3 linked regions of the Sus scrofa genome follow. The protein of the gene in region 1 purifies or fractionates together with the protein of each later gene. This does not show direct contact. Links are inferred from orthologs where the notes say so. Each region holds a gene or a part of one and is shown in the gene's direction. Other genes may lie near its edges.

Region 1 (3,645 bases):
TTTGCCATTTCTTGGGCCGCCCCCTTGGCATATGGAGGTTCCCAGGCTAGGGGTTGAATTGGAGCTACAGCGGCCGGCCTACACCATAGCCACAAGCAAGGAGGGATCCGAGCTGCGTCTGCATCCTACACCATAGCTCACGGCAACGCCGGGTCCTTAACCTACTGAGCGAGGCCAGGGATCAAACCTGCAACCTCACGGTTCCTAGTCGGATTCGTTAACCACTGAGCCATGACGGGAACTCCAAGACTTATTCTAAAGTTTAAAATGTGATTTTTGGGGAGTTCCCTGGTGGCTGAGTGGGTTAAGGATCTGGGATCACTGCTGTGGCATGGGTTCGATCCCTGGCCTGGGAACTTTTCTATGTCACAGGCATGTGTCTCTTCCCCCCACCCCATGTGATTTGGTAAACTATTTGAATAAGAAGATTCTTAGAATGCTTCTTTGGAAGTTTGTCTTTCAGCCTATAACTCAGTTGATTTCTAGAGGTTTTCAGTGAAAGTCCTCTGGAAAGATTTCCTTCCTCCCAAACTCCATCCCATTGCACGGTCAGTTTTCTGATTTAAGGAGTCAGGAGCAATATGCCACATTTCTGATGAGCTCATCTGCTAGTTTTCAAGTTAAACATTTACATTAGAGTTAGATCTTAGAATGAGTTGGCAGTGTTAATAGTGAAGTGATTGGGAGATAATTGTCTGATTGTGTTTCAGAAATGTGATCTTCACCGGCTGGAAGAGGGCCCACCTGTCACCACGGTGCTCACCAGGGAGGATGGGCTCAAGTACTACAGGATGATGCAGACTGTTCGCCGAATGGAGTTAAAAGCAGATCAGCTCTATAAACAGAAAATTATTCGTGGTTTCTGTCACTTGTGTGATGGTCAGGTGAGTGAGAGTTACGTAGTAAAACTGTTATTTAGGAATTGTAGTATGCTATGTATTGGCTCTTATCCTGCCTTTTGTGTCTGAAGGATTTGAGGCTGGTACTTTAGAATAAAAATGAGGCCTGCTATGAAGCTTTTGCTAAAGTCACATGTTACTTTGCTGATTTCCTATGCCACTGTGGCATTGTGAGCACGTGTACTGGATATGCTTTTGGAGCCAAGGGGTTTTGCTTTGTTTTTGATTTGTTTTGTGGGTTTAGGCCAAGGGTTACAAAATCATGTCTGCCAGGGACCATTTAGGTAGAATAAATGAGTGAAGCCTGTCAGCTCTACAAAGAATGGAGAATGGTGACAAGGACTGGTGGTGAACTGGAACATAGAGGCCCCGTGCAGGGGAAGTTCTAACTTGGTTCTAGCCAGTTGGTGCCATGTGGTACGGGCTAATGCTTCTAATCGTTTTTGTCTTCAAGAGAAGACAGAACTCTCCATTTTCATGTGAAACTCACACAATATTTTAATGTTGACATCTGATTTAGGACATTTTTCAAATTATCACGCAGACTTAAAACAGCGTATCTGTACATATGGCTCTGGCTTGGGCTTTATCCTCTACTCTATTTCTGATGAAAAATAGAGCCACTTGTGGTTATTACTAAAGGGTTCTACTAGGCCAGATGTTTCATAATAGTCTGGGAAATACTTTATCTAGAAATGGGTACTGTAATTGACTCATTGCTGCTGCTTGCTTGAATACAGGAAGCTTGTTGCGTGGGCCTGGAGGCTGGCATAAACCCTACGGACCATCTGATCACAGCCTACCGAGCTCATGGCTTTACCTTTACTCGTGGGCTTTCTGTCCGGGAAATTCTTGCGGAACTTACAGGTATGCTGTTAATTTACAAAAGGGGGAGTTGGTGAAATTAAGTTTCCCTATTAAGATGCTAACTGTTTATAAGTTAACAATAAAACTTTTTTTGAAGTAAAAGAAAAAATACTTAACCAAAAAAGCCTCTCCCTTTTGGTGCCCTATTGTGCTTTTGAGTAAACTGACCATTTTTGAGGTTATCTGGCCTTTCAGGTAAAAGATCAGCTCTAGGGAGTTCTTGTTGTGGCACAGTGGAAACGAATCCGACTAGTATCCATAAGGATATGGGTTTGATTCCTGGCCTCGCTCAGTGGGTTGGGTGTCCGGTATTGCTGTGAGCTGTGGTATAGGTTGCAGACATGGCTTGGATCCTCCGGCATTGCTGTGGCTGTGGTGTAGGCCAGCAGTCGTAGCTCTGATTTGACCCCTAGCCTGAGAACTTCCATATGCCACGGGTGCCACTCGAAAAAGACAAAAAAAAAAAAAAAAAAAAAAAAAAAATCAGCTTTATAAAATCAGAATAGCATATATCATTCAAGCCTGCCAGCAGAAATCTGGTAGTCAAAATAAATTGAGAATAAGCATTTTATTGTATGCAGGTTAAATTCTGGGAATCGTAATGTTCCCCTTGTGTTAAACCATTGTAACAGTATAGGAGGAATCAGAAGATGTTTGTAACTAGCAAAAAAAAAAAGAAGGGAAAAGCAGTCCAGGGTACCATGCTATCATCCTATATCATTGAATTGGTCTCTCTTGGTTGAGCCTCTAAGTAAACACTCGGGGTATGGTTTTGTTTGTTGTTTTTGTTGGGTTTTGTTTGTTGGTTTTAACTTGTGACATACGGAAGTTCCCAGGCTAAGGGTCAGAATTGGAGCTGCTGCTGAGACCTACAGCACAGCCATGGCAACATCAGATCCTTAATCCACTGAGTGAGGCCAGGGATTGAACTTGCATCTTCACAGAGACAACATCGGGTCTTTAACCCGGTTAGCCACAACGAGAACGCCTGTTTGTTTTATTTTATTTTTATTTTATTATTATTATTTTTTTAATAGTTATTTCCACAGTACCTTTTTTTTTCTACTGTACAGCATGGTGACCCAGTTACACATACATGTACACATTCTATTTTCACACATTTTCATGTTCCATCAGAAGTGACCAGGAGTTCCCGTCGTGGCGCAGTGGTTAACAAATCCGACTAGGAACCATGAGGTTGCGGGTTCGGTCCCTGCCCTTGCTCAGTGGGTTAACGATCCGGCGTTGCCGTGAGCTGTGGTGTAGGTTGCAGACGCGGCTCGGATCCTGCGTTGCTGTGGCTCTGGCGTAGGCTAGTGGCTACAGCTCCGATTCGACCCCCTAGCCTGGGAACCTCCATATGCCACGGGAGCGGCCCAAAGAAATAGCAAAAAGACAAAAAAAAAAAAAAAAAGTGACCAGACATAGTTCCCAGTGCTACACAGCAGGATCTCATTGCTTATCCATTCCAAAGGCAATAGTTTGTATCTATTAACCCCAAGCTCCCCAACCACTCCACTCCCTCCCCCTCGGCAACCACAAGTCTCTTCTCCAAGTCCATGATTTTCTTTTCTGTGGAAAGGTTCATTTGTGCTTTATATTAGATTCCAGATATAAGTGATATCATATATGGTATTTGTCTCTCTGACTTACTTCACTCAGTATGAGAGTCTCTAGTTCCATCCATGTTGCTGCAAATGGCATTATTTCGTTCTTTTTGATGGCTGAGTAGTATTCCATTGCGTATATATTACCACATCTTCCTAATCCAGTTGTCTGTGGATGGACATTTGGGTTGTTTCCATGTCCTGGCTCTTGTTTTATATATTGGTTTCTGGTGTGTTACGTGTCTATTGCCATTTCTAGGACGAAGAGGAGG
Region 2 (4,255 bases), on another chromosome or scaffold:
TGGGTTAACGATCCGGCGTTGCCGTGAGCTGTGGTGTAGGTTGCAGACGTGGCTCGGATCCTGTGTTGCTGTGGCTGTGGTATAGGCTGGTGGCTCCAGCTCCGATTGGACCCCTAGCCTGGGAACCTCCATATGCCGCGGGAGCGGCCCAAGAAATAGCAAAAAGACAAAAAAAAAAAAAGCCACATCAGATGGCAAAGAGAACACCAAAACTCTATGCTCATAACAACTTGGCTAGGTGGCCAGGACAGGGATCCTCTCTGCCCTAGCTTCATAGGTAAGTAAAAGACTGCCAAGGATAAGGGACCTACTTTTCCCAAGTTGTCTCCATTTTTGAGGCTGGATTAAGGCTTACTGTGGTAGCTGTGGTAACTGCTCAGTGTGTTGTAGCAATTATCATCATTACTATCATCCCAGATTCCCATTTTTCAGGCTGAAAGCCATTTCCTCACTTTTGGTGCAGAAGGGACAAAGATGCTTCTCGGTGCCTCCAGCCCATTCCCTCTGGTACTCCCCCTCTTCTTCCCTACCTCATCTCTTTCCTCCCCTGAGGGGCCTGGCCTTAGAAGCCCCAGTGTCTGTCCCAGGAGGCTGCAACAACTATGAGGGTTGGGCTCCGTTACTTTACCACCTTTTTTGCACACACCTGACAGGGAGAATGTGTAGCAGTTACAGTTAGTCAATCTCTCACCCCAAACTGTCCCCAATACCAGCTATTGGGGGACTTTGAGCCTTCCTCCCTGTCCTCACCTGTAAAACGAGCCTCATAGGGTTGTAGACCAAGTGGTACACATGCTGTAAGGGGTTGCTGTTCTTACTATTACGAGTGGGTAAGAAACGGAGATTTAAGGAGATACTGTGATTGGAAAACTCAGTCCTTGCAATTGCCCTGCCCATTAGATAACGTCACCCCATTTTATATAAAGGAGGGACCTCCGGGCCACCTCCACTAAGGTTGAATGGGGAGGGCAAGGTGGACGCTGTTTTCTCATCTGTAAATGGCAACAACAGCACGGGCCTTTCCGACACGGTGACTAACAGATCACCGAGCCCATCAAGCCATGCTGGCTCAGCACACAGCGCCCGCGCCAATGCCAATACACACGTTCCCAGGCCACCGCAGCCGCGCCCCAGCTCGGCTCACAGGTCCGGGCCACGCCCCCCGAGAAGACCCGGAAGCAGAGTCCCCCCGCAGGTCAAAGCTGGCGATGCTGCTCCTGTACCGCCGCCAGAGGGCATGAGCGCGGCCTTTGTTGGCTTGCACCTCGCCAGTTACGTCAGCGGCCGGTCGCGGAAATAGAGGGGTTTGCCGTACAAAATGGCGGCTGCCTATGGGGCGGTTCGGAACGCTGAGAAGCTGTTCTGTTTCTGGGACACGCGGCGATCCTGGCGTAGGGCTTGCAGCAGGCTTCTAGCCAAAGACGGCTCCCGCGGAATTTCCCGGCGCCTTTGTTGTCAGTAAGCGGCAGAAGGCACAAGATGGAGGCGTTGGCTGGGCGGCCGGAAATGAAAGTGAGCGGCGGCGTGTTTCCCTCCCCACCCGGCTCCCCCGCCCTCAGAGCGCCTCGTTGGGCCGCGAAGTCAGCAGTGACCCGGGGTCTGAGCTATGTCCCTCCTTTCTGAGGCGTGACCTGCCGCGAAAGGTACAGAGTGAGAAGCCGAGCCCAGGAAGTGTATGGGGGCCCACTGTTGCGGGCTTGGTGTTTTCCTTTAAGACTCACGGGGCCTCGGTCTCCTCGAGCGAAGACGCAAATCCCGAAACGTTCCATTGGGAACGACATGTGTAAGGCTCAGTGCGGGGCTCCAGGTTCGCAGGTTTTCTTCTCTGGCCGCGGGGTCGCCTCAGAGTGACGCTTAACCCAGGAGGCCTGCCGGGAGGTGGGGCGGCGGAGCGGGCTGCCTCTGAGCACAGCGTCGGGTCGGAGACCCTTTGCTTATTTAATTAATGTGAAACACATCCTGTGTAAGTTTAAAAAACACTTAATATCGGTGATATACACACAGCGTGGAACTTAACCATCTTAGTCGCTTTCGAGTGTGCAGTTCAGTGGCATTAAATACATCGCGTTGCTCTGTGATCAGGCTCTATATAAGTTCATTTTGCCGAAGACCGAAGCTCTGTACCCTTGAAAGGGTACCTCCACATTTGTCCCTCCCCAGTCCCTGGCAACCACCGTTCTTTCCTCATACAGGAGGCCTGGAGTGTTTGTCCTTTTGTGACTGGTGTGCATCACTGAGCATAAAGTCTTCAAGGTTCACTCGCGCTGTAGCACGCTCCTTTCTTTTTCAAGGCAGGTTGATGTTCTGTGGTTTTCACGAGCCCTGAAGGGTAGCGGAATAGCCACCCCAAGTGTGCCAACTTGGCACGCGGGTTGCTTTGAGCCAAAGGCAGTCAGTATCCAGCAATATGAGGGAAAGCCTGTAGCTCTCCCTTAACTGCCTAAAAGAATTTAAATAAGGACCAGACCAGAAAAAGCAATTACCAGAGAGAAACTTTTCTATCTAAAAGACTTACTTGGGGAGTTCCCGTCGTGGCGCAGTGGTTAACGAATCCCACTAGGAACCATGAGGTTGCAGGTTCGGTCCCTGGCCTTGCTCAGTGGGTTAACGATCCGGCGTTGCCGTGAGCTGTGGTGTAGGTTGCAGACGCAGCTCGGATCCCGCGTTGCTGTGGCTCTGGTGTAGGCCGGCGGCTCCAGCTCCGATTCGACCCCTAGCCTGGGAACCTCCATATGCCGCAGGAGCGGCCCAAAGAAATAGCAAAAAGACAAAAAATAAATAAATAAATCAAAATAAAATAAAATAAAAGACTTACATGCATGGCAGGACAAACATCTAATCACCAAGCCTCTGCCCTGCTCTTCTCTTCTTGTGAGTGGCCCTCCTCCCCTCTGAAGCTCCAGCCCCAACCCTTCCCTCAGCTCAGGAGGGCAGATAAGCCTCACTTGCCTGACTACCTTCTTATTTTTATAGGGCTCCCATACATATGAAATTAAGTTGGTTCCTTGCCTATTAATCTTTTTTATGACAATTTAACCATTAGACTAGCCAAAGAAATTAGAAAAATAGAAGGAAAATTTTTCCACCCTGACACCGCATTTTATTTATTCATCTGTTCGTAGACACCTGGTTTGCTTCTACTGTTTGCTACTGTGAATAACTCTGTGAACATAGGATGGACACACATTTTTACATGAACTAATATCCAGTAGGGTTGCAGAGAGGAGAGTATGATTTACATATTTAAATTTGATGAGGTAATTTTGAATCATAAATGAAACATTAAGCTGTTTACAAGATCACTATAAGATTTTAAATGTAGTCAGTCATTGTGCATTATGGGCCATGGCGTAGCCTGGTGATGGGACATGGATTTAAGGTGCTGTGGTGATTGTGGACCTCCCTTCAGCCCTGCCAGCAGGCTTGGGGGAATTTTGTGGATAATCTTACTTAGAGATGGCATCGAAAACCTAAGGAGTAGGTGCACAAATATAGGAATCAAAGATCCATAACAAAGGATTGTGAAGTGACATTTTGGAAGCATCTAAGGCCTGATTTATTCATATGTGAGGCGTGGGAAATTATGGTATTCGTCTTAAGGGGTTATTGTGGGGATAGCAGAGTCATGGTGGATAAAAGGCTCACCTGGCCAGTAATAAATGTTGGCCATGGTGTCTGTGGACATAAAAAAATGTTCATAGTGTGCAATTAATTTTTTTTTTTTTTTTTTGGCTGCACCCAAGGCATATGGAAGTTCCCTGGCCAGGGATTGAATCTGTCACCAAAGCATCAGACCGACCCTGCCCACCCACCCCCACTGCAGTGACAACTGCACCACATGAGAACTCCCTGCAATTAATTTTTAAAAGGCAGTACATCTGGGTGAAGGGTACATGGGGATTCTTTTTACTATCTTTGCAACTTTTCTGTTTATGTCAAAATAAGTTTAAAAAACACATTAAAATAGCATGTAAAATGGAAAACAATTTTGAGGAAAAATTTTTGCCCACAAAAAAGACTTGATATTTTTATATCAAACATGCTAATCATGGAGTTCCTGTGTGGCTCAGCAGTAATGAATCCAACTGGTATCCATGAGGACTCAGGTTGGATCCCTGGCCTTGCTTAGTGGGTGAAAGGATCCAGTATTGCCATGAGCTATGGTGTAGGTTGCAGACTCGGCTTGGATCTGGCCTTGCTGTGGCTGGATTTAGGCTGGCACCTGCAGCCCAGATTCCACCCCTAGCCTCGGAAC
Region 3 (4,094 bases), on another chromosome or scaffold:
AGGAATAAAAAGTAGAGTTAAAGATATGTTATCATGATATGAAGCTTTCTTCTTGCTGTAATGAAAACTGAAGAAATCTTGAATAAGGACTGAAGTAAGGGCTTCCTCAGTATGTGATTGAATACAGCCTACCATGCTTCATCAGTTCTGAGTTGCTTTTTCTCGTTGTGAACTACAGTTGCCTCTGACTGTGAACTGGAGATTGGCACTTGCCATCTGCCTCTGCAGAGCTTGACTCATGAGCCACTGCAGCTGCTGACCCTCCACAGCCCCTTCGAGGAGCTCAGGGGGGAGCTCAGGAATGAGGCACTTTGTGCTCTGGAAAAACTGGCAGAACAGGTCTTCAGATGGTTAGATACTTTCAGAAAAAGATTTTATGAGCCCGGTTCGTGCATCTCCTCATAGCTAGAAAAGCACTGAAATCCTTCATGGTGACGTCTGCTCCTCCTGTCGAGCAGTAACCCTCAGACTTCTGTAAAACGTGTGCTGGGTAGCATGTACCTCCCTCCTCACCAAAACCACATGTATGCTGACATTTCCCTCCCTCCTTGCAGCGGTATCTCAGAGCTAACTGCAACAGCTGCCTCCCCAGTTGTAGCCCTCATTTCGTCCGCAATAAAACTTAACACTCAACCTTCAGGTTGTGCGTATTTTTCAGGTCAACTTTAAGATGGAGCTATCCTAACCCTTTTTTTTTTCTCTCTTTCTTATCAGGTCGGTATCACACTTGTGAGCAGGTGGCAAAGTAATATAACCTCTTAAAGCAGACGACCGCTTTTAGTCCATGAAATGATACACCCGTCCATGCACCAAGTGAAGACCCAGGAGTCCCACTTGGGAAACCCTTAGGTCAGCGCTGGGCCCCCCTGATTCTCACTCCGCCCGGCCGCTGCCCCGCAGCGCTCAGTCATGCAGTGCTGACCAAGGTTCCTCTCAGTCTGACAATACAGGCCAGGTCAGCTTAGCTCTGATCAGAGGACGCCTAAAAGCCCACTGCAGGAGGCATTACTAGGCAACGCGAAGACCCTCTTTTTCAAAAGACCCGGCATTCAGGCCGGTGGGGACCAATCCAGGCACCGCTTAGCTGTGGCCCCGGACGCACAGCCAGGCCCAGCGAGGTGCCCGAACCGAGCACAAGAGCGCCGCGGGCGCAACTCTGTGACGTCAAGCCCCGGCCCGCCCTGCTCACTGGGCAGAGGCGGCCCCTTTCTTCCCAGGGCGGGGCGGCGTGCTGACGCCACACGCCGGGGCGTGGCCGAGAGTTTAGTACCCCGGAGTGGGGTGTCGGCGCCTCATTCGGGTGGAGCTGAGCCGAAGACAGGTAGGCGCGCGCTGCCGCCGGGCCTCGCTGGGTTTGGGAGGTTCCGTGCTGGTGGGGCAGGAGGCGGGGGTCACGGCTGAGGACAAGGCCGCTGCGCTCTCGTTGTCGCTGGCTCCCTGATGACAGGGAGTGAAGCTGGCTGGAGCAGGGCGTACTGGGGGAGGTGGGTGGGACGGGGCCTGACGGACGGGCGTGGCAGCCAATGGTGCGCTGGGCGCCTGCAGGCGGGCGGAGATTGGCGGGTGCGGGCGTGCGCGGAAGTTGCGCGGGGCGCGGAGCGGCGCCCCATTGGTGGAGGCGGAGGCGGGGGTGGGCCGCGCGGCGGATGTGAGAGAACGGGCGCCGCTGCCGGGGTGACCCCCAAGGTCGAGGAGGCGTCACGTGGGAGTCACCCGGCAGTGTCCTCTGCCCGCCTGGACGGATGGAAGGGTGGCGCGCCCTTGAAGAAGCGGCTGCGAATTGTGGGCAGTACGCCTTTCCCACAGCGTGGACGGCACGGGTCGGCTTCTGATCGGACTGTCCCTACGCTCCTGGGGTGAACCCTTGAGGGACGGATTACCCCGCAGGCCCCCCACTCTCCCCTGTAAGCCTCCCTGTATTCTTTGGGGTGACGCCGTACTCAGTAGCCTACAATACTCAGCACCCCTTCTTACTCTCCTCCCTGCACTCCTGGGGTGAGGTCTTAAGTGGATCACCCTGCAGTATCCGCAGTATTCAATACTCCACCGTACCCATCCTCTCTGCTCACTCTTGGGGTGGACCCTTGAGTGATTACCCGCAGCACCCACTGTATTCGTCACCTCCACGGTACTCAGTAAGTACCGCACTGTTGAGCACCACACCACACCTTCTTTCTCTGTGCTCCTCAGGTTGATGCCCTGGATGAGTGGATTGTTCTGCAACACACTGCTGTACTCGGTATCCCTCCTTACTCATGTTTGTACCAGACCTCCCTGTGAGCTCTTTAGGGTGGTACCCTTGAGTAGACTACCCTGCAGTACCCTACCGTACTCAGTACCCCCACCATACTCCTCCTTCCAGGTGTTTGATAGCTCATGTTGCAATGAAGGATATCTCTTGGAGGAACATACTAATCCGTGCACCCTTCCCCTTTGGCAAAGCTCCCTGACCTCAGTGCAGATTGTGTACTGAGACAGTAGAAAAGACTGCGTAGATAAGAACCTGCTATCTCTGCCCTTTGCCCAGAACAGGGGAGCGGTGACTCAGGCCCAAGGAATGAACAATGTCTTGGGGTTTCTTGTGCCTTGTTTTGCAGTCCTGTACTTTGAAGCGAGGGCCAGAGACCCACTTCCAGGTATAGTGCTCTGAGCAGTGTTAGGATGAACGGCCTAGGTTGAAGCCTTGTTGGCACTGTGGCAGGAGGTGAAACAGTCAAACCACAGTTTTTTGTGGAAGACCTTCGCTGTGTGATGATACATAATACTGTTCTACCTTTGCAAGTTAGCCCTGGACTAGATCTTGGAAAGATGGAGAAAGATCGGAGTATCCTGATGATTATTTTGAGAGCATTTTCTTGATGGCTAGTGATATTGAGTGTCTTTTCATGTGTTTATTTGCAGTCCCTATACCTTCTTCAGTCAAATGTCTGTTCTGATCGTGTGTGTGTGTGTGTGTGTGTGTGTGTTTTAGCCACCTCTGGGCCGGGGATTGAACCCAAACCACAGCAGTGACAATGCTGAGTCCTTACATGCTAGGCCACTGAGGAACTCCATCTTTTGCCCATTTTGTAATTGGATCCTTTGCCTTTTTAAAATTTTTTTTTTTTTGAGGCGTTCCCGTCAGGGCGCAGTGGAACCGAATCCGACTAGGAACCATGAGGTTGCGAGTTCTATCCCTGGCCTCGCTTAGTGGGTTAAGGATCCAGCGTTGCCTTGAGCTGTGGTGTAGGTCACAGACATGGCTCGGATCCGGAGTTGCTGTGGCTGTGGTGTAGGCTGGCAGCTGTAGCTCCTATTGGACCTCTAGCCTGGGAACCTCCGATGCCGCAAGTGCGACCCTAAAAAAAAAAAAAAGCAAAGAAAAAAATTTTTTTTTCTTTTGAGAATTTCTTAAACATTCTAGTCCTTGGTTGGGTATGTGGTTTGCAGATATTTTCTACAGTCTGTAGCTTGTCTTTTCATCGTAACAGGGTCTTTTGCAGAGCAAAAGTTCTTAATTTTGGCAAAGTCCTGTTTATGAATTTTGTCTTTTATACTTTGTGCTTTTAGCATCAAGTTAAGGACTCTGCCTAGCTCTAGTTCCTGAGATTTTTTTTTTTTATCTTACATATTTTTCTAACAGTTTTATAGTTTTGTGTTGTACATTTAAATTTATAATCCATTTCAGTTGATTCCTCTATAAGGTATGAAGTCTAGTTTGAGTGGTCTCTTTCTTTTTCTTTCATTCTTTTTCTTTCCTTTTTTTTATTTTTTATTTATAAGCAAATTTATTTATAAATAAATACAAATTTGTTTGTAAATAAATATAAGTTTATTTATTTTTATCGCTACGCCTGTGGTATATGGATATTCTTGGGCCAGGGATCAAATCCGAGTCACAATAGTGACCTATGACACAGCTGTGGCCATGCTGGACCCTTTAACTCACTGGACTGGGCTGGGGAATGAGCCCACACCTCCACAGCAACCTGAGCCACTGCAGTTGGATCCTTAACCTAGTGCGTCACAGCAGGGACTCCTCTTTTTCTTTTCTTTCCTCTTTTTTTTTTTTTTAACCGTCTGTGGATGTCCAGCTGGCAGCATTTGTTGAAAAA

Evidence for each region.
Region 2: the proteins of PDHA1 (region 1) and RAB7A fractionate together in Homo sapiens (co-fractionation; 3 studies listed by BioGRID, with this or other methods). This does not show direct contact. The link is inferred for Sus scrofa from reciprocal best matches to the Homo sapiens genes PDHA1 and RAB7A.
Region 3: the proteins of PDHA1 (region 1) and OGDH fractionate together in Homo sapiens (co-fractionation; 3 studies listed by BioGRID). This does not show direct contact. The link is inferred for Sus scrofa from reciprocal best matches to the Homo sapiens genes PDHA1 and OGDH.

Annotation. Positions count from the first base shown.
Region 1 is NC_010461.5:15,706,311-15,709,955, forward strand, and holds part of PDHA1 (pyruvate dehydrogenase E1 component subunit alpha, somatic form, mitochondrial), read left to right. Parts: intron 1-710; coding exon 711-884; intron 885-1,639; coding exon 1,640-1,766; intron 1,767-3,632; coding exon 3,633-3,645. UniProt on the Homo sapiens protein: The pyruvate dehydrogenase complex catalyzes the overall conversion of pyruvate to acetyl-CoA and CO(2), and thereby links the glycolytic pathway to the tricarboxylic cycle.
Region 2 is NC_010455.5:71,883,879-71,888,133, reverse strand, and holds the start of RAB7A (ras-related protein Rab-7a), read left to right. Parts: upstream 1-1,375; 5' UTR 1,376-1,512; intron 1,513-4,255.
Region 3 is NC_010460.4:50,682,107-50,686,200, reverse strand, and holds the start of OGDH (2-oxoglutarate dehydrogenase, mitochondrial), read left to right. Parts: upstream 1-1,210; 5' UTR 1,211-1,321; intron 1,322-1,684; exon of another isoform or gene 1,685-1,904; intron 1,905-4,094. UniProt on the Homo sapiens protein: 2-oxoglutarate dehydrogenase (E1o) component of the 2-oxoglutarate dehydrogenase complex (OGDHC). Participates in the first step, rate limiting for the overall conversion of 2-oxoglutarate to succinyl-CoA and CO(2) catalyzed by the whole OGDHC.